Tribolium castaneum: one gene and its partners. The protein of the gene in region 2 interacts with the protein of the main gene of each other region in a pairwise test. Links are inferred from orthologs where the notes say so. Each region holds a gene or a part of one and is shown on either strand. Other genes may lie near its edges. The genes, in order: Su(var)2-10, Sumo and lwr.

The links.
Region 1: the proteins of Sumo (region 2) and Su(var)2-10 interact in a two-hybrid assay, tested with the Caenorhabditis elegans proteins (2 studies listed by BioGRID). The link is inferred for Tribolium castaneum from reciprocal best matches to the Caenorhabditis elegans genes smo-1 and gei-17.
Region 3: the proteins of Sumo (region 2) and lwr interact in binary tests that used the Caenorhabditis elegans proteins (3 or more experiments, as listed by UniProt). The link is inferred for Tribolium castaneum from reciprocal best matches to the Caenorhabditis elegans genes smo-1 and ubc-9.

The regions. Positions count from the first base shown.
Region 1 is NC_087396.1:21,167,126-21,169,297, reverse strand, and holds the end of Su(var)2-10 (E3 SUMO-protein ligase PIAS2), read left to right. Parts: coding exon 1-321; intron 322-374; coding exon 375-609; intron 610-655; coding exon 656-819; intron 820-863; coding exon 864-1,031; intron 1,032-1,087; coding exon 1,088-1,377; 3' UTR 1,378-1,603; downstream 1,604-2,172. UniProt on the Caenorhabditis elegans protein: Functions as an E3-type smo-1 ligase. Mediates smo-1 conjugation to air-2 in vitro and is required for proper chromosome alignment.
Region 2 is NC_087394.1:15,056,785-15,059,848, reverse strand, and holds the end of Sumo (small ubiquitin-related modifier 3), read right to left. Parts: intron 981-3,064; coding exon 846-980; 3' UTR 566-845; downstream 1-565. Other genes in the region: uncharacterized protein LOC659449, read left to right, coding at 1-213, 261-548. UniProt on the Caenorhabditis elegans protein: Ubiquitin-like protein which can be covalently attached to target lysines as a monomer. Does not seem to be involved in protein degradation and may function as an antagonist of ubiquitin in the degradation process.
Region 3 is NC_087399.1:9,253,895-9,258,014, reverse strand, and holds the start of lwr (SUMO-conjugating enzyme UBC9-B), read left to right. Parts: upstream 1-1,157; 5' UTR 1,158-1,305; intron 1,306-1,357; 5' UTR 1,358-1,364; coding exon 1,365-1,430; intron 1,431-1,479; coding exon 1,480-1,563; intron 1,564-1,615; coding exon 1,616-1,878; intron 1,879-4,120. Other genes in the region: transmembrane inner ear expressed protein, read left to right, coding at 934-1,019. UniProt on the Caenorhabditis elegans protein: Accepts the ubiquitin-like protein smo-1 from the aos-1-uba-2 E1 complex and catalyzes its covalent attachment to other proteins with the help of an E3 ligase such as gei-17.

The DNA of each region.
Region 1 (2,172 bases), on a different chromosome or scaffold from region 2:
TGGAAACAACATGTGAACAAGATGATTTTTTCCCGCCGAATGTCATCGTCAAAGTTAACAATAAACCATGTCCTCTACCAAACCCAATACCAACAAATAAGCCGGGGGTTGAACCGAAACGACCACCAAGACCGGTTAACATAACGCCAATGGTTAAGTTAAGCCCCATCGTGGCCAACATGATTACGGTGTCATGGGCGCCGGATTACGGACGAGGGTATGCCATTTCAGTGGCGTTGGTACAAAAATTAACTTCGTCCGATTTGTTGCAACGGTTGAAGGCCAAAGGACCCAAACATTCCGATTATACGCGTGGATTAAGTAAAGTCGTGTTTTGGTCCGAGTGGCGTCAGTTAACTCGATTATTATTTTAGTTAAAGAAAAATTGAAGGAAGATGCGGATTCTGAGATCACGACGACTTGTCTCAGAGTCTCTTTGATCTGTCCTTTGGGCAAAATGCGCATGACGACACCGTGTCGTGCCATCACGTGCAATCATTTGCAGTGTTTTGATTCGTCGTTGTTCCTACAAATGAATGAGAGGAAGCCGACTTGGACCTGTCCAGTGTGTGATAAACCGGCCCTCTACGATAATCTAACCATTGATGGGTAAGCTGTTTTTTTGAGACAGACCGATTACAAAAAAAAAATTCAGTTATTTCCAGGAAGTGTTAGCTTCGCCTAACCTCCCACCTGACTTGAACGAGATTCAGTTACACAAAGACGGCTCTTGGAGCACCCAAGTGTCCGATAAAAAAGTGACAAAAAGTGAACACGTGCCGATCGATGACTCGATTGAAATAATCGGCGATGACATTGGTAAGTCACCACTCGGCTCCGCCTCGTCTCACCTCCCCTTTTAGAATTAGTCACGTCAGGCACAACTGCAACTTCCTCAACTGATAAGTCAAAAGACGATAAATCGAAGGATAAAATCGTCGATTTGACGTGTTCCGACTCTGATGATGACGAGCCGTTGGCGAAACGTCGCGTCGTTAACCCGAAGCCTGACTCGACCATCAAATTCTCAGGTGATTTGAGGTAATGCTGTTGTTGATTGTTAATTGTTTGTTTGTGGTAACTATAGATACGACCAGTATTTCGTCAAGTAGCAACCAATCGCGTGTGACTACGACTCCAGGTCCGTCGAGTGTTTCTAGTTCCGGATATCCGGCGAGTCCGTCAATTATTACGTTGGATAGTCCGTCCCCGCCCCGTTCGCCGAATCAGGCCAATCAGCAGCCGGCTTCTTGTATGTTGGCCAATCAGAACGGGACTGGGAATGAAGCTGCGTCGCTGTTCACGCCCGGTTCGATGCCGTTTTTGGATTTGGAGAACGAAGCGAGTGCTAATATGAATTATACAACCGGGTATTAAATTCAAAGTTACCGTTAAGTCAAAAGTTAATTTAATTTCAATAAACGTATTTTTGTACATAAGTTAGTGTTAATTAAGCTTAATGAACTTTTTCTCAGTAGTGTGTTACTCCAGTTAGGTTGAATGTCTTATTTTTCTATAATTGCAGGTTTTTTATTTATAATTGTTTCATACCTATTTGTTTTTTGTGAAAACTATAAGTCGTAATAAATCTTTTTTTGATAAAGTTCGTGTTTTATTTACATGGTTGAAAATACACAACAAAAAACATGGAAATATTTAAATAGTTTGTGTTAAAATATCTGCAAAAGATGGTCAGTAGCTGGGGCCTAGTGGCCCAGTGGTATAAGCGCCACTTACGACGGGGGAGGTCGGGTGTTCGAACCCGGATCAGGGTGAAAATTTTTCTCTGAAAAAAAGTGTAGAAAAGGAAGGTGAAACAACACGTAAACAAAAATAAAAGAGGAGAACACATAGACGTATAAACGTAAAGCGGAATTTAAAAAAAATGCTGGAACGTCATATTTAAACCTACTTGCATTACAGTTGTAAATAACATTTTAACGATCGTTTTAGACGTACATATGAATGTATTTTGTTAAATAGAATATCAATTTTTTAAGCTGTATAACTGGTTGCATAATATTTATTGAGACGTTTAAATTTTTAGCCAAATTTCTTTGCCATTATCTTATCAAACACCCGTATTGTTTATAATAATATTAAAAATTAAAGCCGAGATAAAAATAAACAATTTCCTGATAAGACTTGTCCGCGGATCAACGTATTTACCAG
Region 2 (3,064 bases):
GATCGCACTCCGAAAGATACAGTTGAGGCGAAAAATAATCAACACACTACATACTGGAGTACTTGGTTATTGATCGCCCATTTATTCATACACTATATCAGTTTTTTGATTATTCCTATATTTTTCAACCCCGAGGATGAAATTGCGATGGGTGTTAAAGAACCAATCGGACCTTGTGACGAATATGTGCCAATTCAAACCGCATTCGGAATGGTGAGATATTTCTTAAGTGAAATAAATCAATAAATAATAATTTTCAGACGTTACAAAAACGAAGATATTTGTGCGCAACAGATTACGATGAGAAATATTTCGATTGGCATTGTTTACCTGGAGGCAAGCCCCCGTCCGAAGGCTCCTATTGGTACACAGCCTGTGGTGTCCCTCTACCAAACAGGGTAGAGACAATTGCCATAATTAGCCTAATATGTTTGTTGGGCGCCACTGTATATGGAAATCTACATTTCAGGTCAAGTGGTGATCAAGTGTTCACTCACAAGAGCCAAACCGAAAAAACTGTAAAAACGAAAAAATCGAAAAAACATTAAGGCAATAAAAAATCCCCTAAGTTATCAAAAGAATTGTATTATTTTAATTTAAGAATAAGAAATACACAACTGAAGTTTCACTAAAACTGAAAACAAAATCATTGCGGTACAGGAATTTAGACATTGAAAACGCGACAAAAAGTGCTCATTTAAGTAGTATTGTTTTCGATTAACCTTAAAAATTATATTAGAAACTAGCTTAAATCTATACATAAACTACCTCAAATTGACCACGAACACTGGGAGATTCTCAATGCTAGCGGTAATTACAAGGTAAGCCGCGTTATAAAATTAATTTTAACAATATCCGCCAGTTTGTTGCTGGTACACTTCGATCGTGTCCCCCTCTTCCATCCCGAGGGATGTTGGAGTGTCCGTCTCGTTGATTGGGGTTCCATCAAATCGGAACCTCACGACCTGCATGCTCAAGCCCTGCAATTAAAAAAGCAAAACTTTGCAACTGCAGCACAACTCAAACTATTCATTTTTGTAATAAATACTACACTAAAGATTCAGCCAGTCACTGTCACCATAGACTCAAACCAAACCCCAAACACTCTCTAGTGTACAATAAAAATGTTAAATCACTTAAAAGAGACCTTTTCTTCGTGATGAGCTCGGAACGCAATTTTAATAATTTATAAAAAAAAAAACAACAACTCTGGTTAATAATCATAGGTTATCTGTAATTTTTAAAGAATCCTCAAACAGGTCGATTTTATTTCTGTAAATGCTACACCATAGTAACATTTATGACATCATTGGTTGTTGACTTTTTGAGTAATAACATTATTTTTTATTTTATTTTTATGTTAGGGTTTATGTTTAATTATTGAAAAAATATGCAAAAAACAACACCTCCTTTATAATAATGCAAGAACAATAAAATGAAGCTTTTTCTTTGTAATTATCAGTAATTTGTTTTTATTTTATTTCCTATTTAAATTTCAAGTTATTTTTTATTTTTAATTAACAGAAGAATAAAAGGGGGTAATTTTGGAAGTCCGAATAGGGCACCCCTGAAACTAAGAGGTTTAGAAAAACGAGTGAAACATTCTCGAGAACGTTTTTAAGAAAATACTTTTGGTCAAAACTGCATCCTGCAATCGTCTTATGATTTTGAGTTACAAACAAGTTGACATTTTAGGGAAATTATAAAAAAAAACGTATCTTCCTTATTATAAAAGATACATAGACGAAAAATTAGAAAAATTCAATAATGTTGTTGACGATTATTTTAACCATTCATTCACTTATCTATAATAATAACATAAGATGTATTTTTTTAAACAGAAATTATAGTTGACTGTGACATTTAAGAAAAGTTTATTTTTTTCTGAAAAAGATATAAATGCAATTCGATATTTTTACATAGTACTTTTGATAAAAAACATAATGAATGTTTAATAGTAGTTGGCTATGGGAAAAGTATTTCACGTAAAAGGTGAACGATTATTGTAGTAAAAAATGTGAAATTATATAGTATGTTAATGTTATTAATCGAACAAATACACAACCGCCTCATAGTTTTATTAAAATTAAATGATTAAAAAATCGTGAAACTACCGGGTGCTCAAAAACTGGCGCACCAACTCAATGGAGTGTGGAAGAGAATTGGTTACATATAAAGGTATAAATAGTAAAAAAATTCTTTGTATTAAAGTTATTGATAAATAACGGATTTTAGATAAATGATATGTGGATATGGAAATAATTCCCAGTGTTGGCACATCTACTAACTGTGATTTTTTTTGAATTTTATTTTTTTTAATAAATATTATTTTTAAAAAAAAGTGCTAAAGTCGTAGGAAATTTAAAAATAATTATTCATCGTTTTGTTAGGGAATGATTACTTAGTGCGAAACATAAAAACATTAAAAAATAATGAAAACTGAAGAAGTTAACAAAAAAAGTTTGTAGCTCCAGATTTTTTTAAATATGACTAGGAATTTTTGCAATATTTTTCCCGTTATCTACACATGCTTCTCAACAACGTACCACTGAGTTGGTGCGCCAGTTTTTGAGCACCCTGTATAAATAGTACCCGATACTACTAGTTCTAAATGAAGATTCAAAATTTTTTGATGACCAACTACAAAGAGAAATATGTGTTCTAAAGATATTTAATATTTAAAAATTGTGTACCATACAAATAGATACATGCACCCGGTATATGAAATCAGAAAAAAATAGCGTTTCCAATGTCACAACCCCTATTGTTTATATTTTAAAAAAATACAAGTTATTTTATTATACAATGGTGTGGAACAAATTTAGGGCACTTTCGACACATCATTCTCAAAAATGATAGGGAATCACACTTTTGTCAATGAAATGTGAAAGGTGTCCGAGTAGTTGAAAAAAAATCGTTAAGTTATTCGTAAAAAAGTATAAAAATATGTTTAATGTCTTTGCCTTATCTTTGTTTGTTTGTATCATTCAAAATAACTTAATAAAGATACGAATTTTTTAAGATTTCGATAAAATCTCGACTTTTGTTTAAAAGTCAAAAACAA
Region 3 (4,120 bases), on a different chromosome or scaffold from region 2:
ACTAGAGTTATTTTAAGGTTCTTTTCATAAGCTCTCACTAAACCTAAATTTATTCGTTTACAAAATATTACAAAATGTTTTTAATTTTTTTTTGGATTTGCACCTTCCAGTTCAAAAACTGATAACTCTACCACTTTTAAAAGATTTTAAATCTTTTTCAGCTTATTTAAAAGAGGAAGCCTAGAACTTTCCTTTGGCGTTTTCAAATTTCTAAAAAAGAATAACAAATAATTAAGTTATAGGTACCTGAAATTGTCCAAACTTAACCTTAAAATTTTTGGGTTTATTAACTTCATTTTCAATTTTAAACACACCAAAGAACAGATAAAGGCCTTCTTTTTTAATTCTCCTAATATGATTTCCAAATCGCTAAACTAACCGAGTTACCAATTTTTTAAGTGACAGGTGCAAATCCAAAAATTTTCAAAAAATCTTAAATATCCTAAAAACGGTAAATTTTAGGTATAGGGAAAACTCTTAAAATAACTCAACTAATCCAAAAACGCAGTGAAAAACATAGCTTTTCATTTAAAATAAGAAAGTTAACAGCGACTTCCGGTATAACCGGAAATGCTGCCATCTTGAAAATATTTTCATTGGCAGAACTTAACGGATTATGATTGACTACCAACTTTTAAAAAATTTCTTTATTAGAGCTTTCAATACTTCTAAAGTAAGGTTTAGACGGAACAGCCTGTAGTTTACCATAAATAACAATAAGCACTGAAACCTTTAGCCTGTATTTGAAGAAAACGCAATTTAAAGTGCACCCTCAAACCAATGTATCTTTATGGGAAAGCCCCGAATCTTTATTTTTTTCTGTATTTGAACTACTGAATTAATTTCTCTTTAGTGTTCTGAACTCCGAAATCGTCAATTTTGAGCCACCTTGTATTTTACGGTTTATTGAACCTAATTATTAATTTTTTGCAGCCTTGAAACTCATTCAGGAGGATTTTGACCAAGAAAATGCCAAGATCCAGGCAAAAGTTGATTTGCAGCAAGTGACGTCGAACTAATCAAATTCGCGCCAATGTTTTTGCCGCCAAATAATTATTACACAAATCCGGGTTTTTGTATTCGTTAAATTTGTTTAAAATCATACACGAAAAGTTTGAATAAATAAATTGTTCTGGAACAAATAATCGGCGACAGGGTGGCCAACACAAGTCGCGTCTGCGCGAATTCCCCTACCTGTTTTCCCAGTTTTTGTCTGTCAACTGTCAAGAAAGCACCGAAGCCCGTTAAATTTTCCTTTAGAGTTTGAATAAGGCCCCATTAAATACCCCAGTGCCCACTTTTAGAGTACGTTTTGGTCATTTCGTGCGATAATTTTGAGGTAGAGCCTGATTTTTAGTTCTAGGATGTCTGGAATTGCTCCCGCTCGTCTCGCCGAAGAACGCAAAGCTTGGCGCAAAGAACATCCTTTTGTGAGTAATTCCTTACAAAATTGCCCTCATGTAATCCATTTCTCCGCAGGGATTTGTGGCCCGACCGTCGAAAAACCCAGATGGCTCTCTAAATCTAATGAACTGGGAGTGCTCAATTCCTGGTAAAAAAGGGGTAAGTTTGTTGCATTGTTTAGTAATTGTTGGGTTATCGCATTGTTGTGTAGACGCCATGGGAGGGTGGAAATTACAAATTACGCATGTTGTTCAAAGATGAGTACCCAAGCATTCCCCCAAAATGTAAATTTGAACCACCGTTGTTCCATCCAAATGTGTATCCGTCAGGTACGGTGTGTTTGTCGTTGTTAGACGAGGAGAAAGATTGGAGACCGGCGATTACTATTAAGCAGATTTTACTCGGAATTCAGGACTTGTTGAATGAACCCAATGTTAAAGATCCAGCACAAGCAGAGGCCTACACAATCTACTGGTAAGTGGTTTTTTTACGGGGTGTTTACATTTGACGTAGTCAAGAGTGCTGTGGATATTGTGATCACGTGATCAAGGAAATTTCGTATCTAGTAATCCATGAAAATGAAAACTTAGTTTCGTAAAGAAAAGGCACTAAGACAATAAATGGACAAGGTTACACTACGGACATCTAAAGGTTAGGATACGAAATACAAATTAGTACAAATAAAGCGTTATTGTCCTCGATAGTTCCGTTAATGTCACCAGAGGGCGCAGTTGATCCATTAGCATCAAAGCCAGTAGATATACTAAAGTAGCGACACGGACCTTGACAGGGCAACAATAACGATTATATACTCTAGAGAGGGCGCAACTATCGAAATTCGACATATACCGCATTATTTACATAAAATGCGTAGCCTTGAAAAGCCTTAGTAAGTGCGTTTTGTCTCTGTTTCTACGTTTAATCTTCACTAAATGAAATTGCTAAAGGGGATGCTCTAAAGAGATATTCGTTAAAGGTCACATTAGATGATAGATTTAAATCGAGAATGTATTTAAACAGGCAGTTTAGTTTTCCAAGGCTCGACATTTTTTGTAATAACGCTGTAATTTTAAAGGTTCGCCAAATTGTCAGTAATTTTGAACATACGTCAAAACTGTCAAGATTCTCTCACTTTTGAAAAATTGGTAAAGAGCACAGTGATTCTGGCGTTCATCTGTAGTTTTACTGTGGTTATTGGTTATGAACAGATTTCATGGAACTTTCAAACCTGTGCTTAAATCACGTAAATAATAAATCGACACCAAAAACATTAAACAAAAGGGCCTCCAGACTGTTCAAAGTCGTCCACATTACGAAGCACGTCTGTGTGAGAATACTGGAAACTCATTCAAACAAAAATTGTTTCAGAAACATAAAGTGTTAGGTACCAACTTGAAAGAGAAATTTCTAAGATACCAAATTTTCAATAAGTATTTCAGGTAGATTTAAACAATACTTCCTTGAAAATTCTTCTAAATTATTAGATTCTGTCCTAATGGGAAAGAATTTAAGACCGCTCTGCTTACACTGACCTTCGTTTCACAAAATTTAATGCATCTAAATCTGGGAATTGTAGCGCATCGAAGTTTGGTGGACTTTTTATAGCCACTTATTTACAGCAACTATGGTATGCAACATTTAAATAATAAAGAGAAATTCAGGTTGTATTATTTCTATTTCTTAGGTAATATCGAGGTGTAAACCGTACCCCAAATTTTGTACACCTGTAATTTAATCATGATTCCTTCTGATTTTTCCCTAAATTTTTAAAGTGATTTCCTTAAAATTTCTTGATTTACTCAATTTTGTACACTGATTTCCTCTGCGGTTTACCTCTCGGGTAATATTGAAAACATTTTCTATTCTTATTGCGAAAAATGTCTTGGTTTCATAGCAGTTGTTAATAGTGTTGAGGGAAAAAATTAAATTTAATTAAAAAAAAATAAATCGACCAATTTAAAATCTTGGAGTAATTACATACGATAAACTGTAAAAACACTTAGAGAGGAGTTTATTAAAATTAGAAATGTAAGTATCACAATTTTTTTAAATCAAACAACTATTATTTTGAAACGTGTTTTTGGCTTTTTCGTTAAATACAAAGTTCAAATTCTTTTAAGGAATGAATTCACTGTTGAAGCGCCAGCACCTTCTTCGAAATGTCCATAAGAGTTGCTGTATTCTGCGCATTCTAAAAGCCTTTCTCATTGCAATGTTCAGTTGAATTTAGGGACGATCTGATTTACTTTTACGTGAGTGAAGCACAAGTTTGAAGGTTTCATGGTATCTGTACACATAAACTGTAATAACCAGGGTGAAATTAAAGACGATCACCGAATTCATTGTTCTGATTCACCAATTTTTCAAACGTGAAAAAATCTTGACATTTTTGACGTACGTTTTTGAATTTTGATGGTGGAGCCATCTGTAGAGTGTATAATCGTTATTGTTGCCCTGTCAAGGTCCGTGTCGCTACTTTAGTATATCTACTGGCTTTGATTAGCATCAGGTTTTCAGAGCAATGAATTTAAAAAAATTGTTGGTAAATTTTTACTTTAGCTACTTCTGGATTTTTGAAAATTTTTTTTTTGCATTTTGCTTTAAAAAGCCTCTAGATCAAAGATATGACCTTGAAAGTTTGTGCAAATGCCCCGTTTTTGAAAAATTCGACCTTGAATGACCTTGACCTAAAAATTTTTTTAAAATTTTTCCTTTA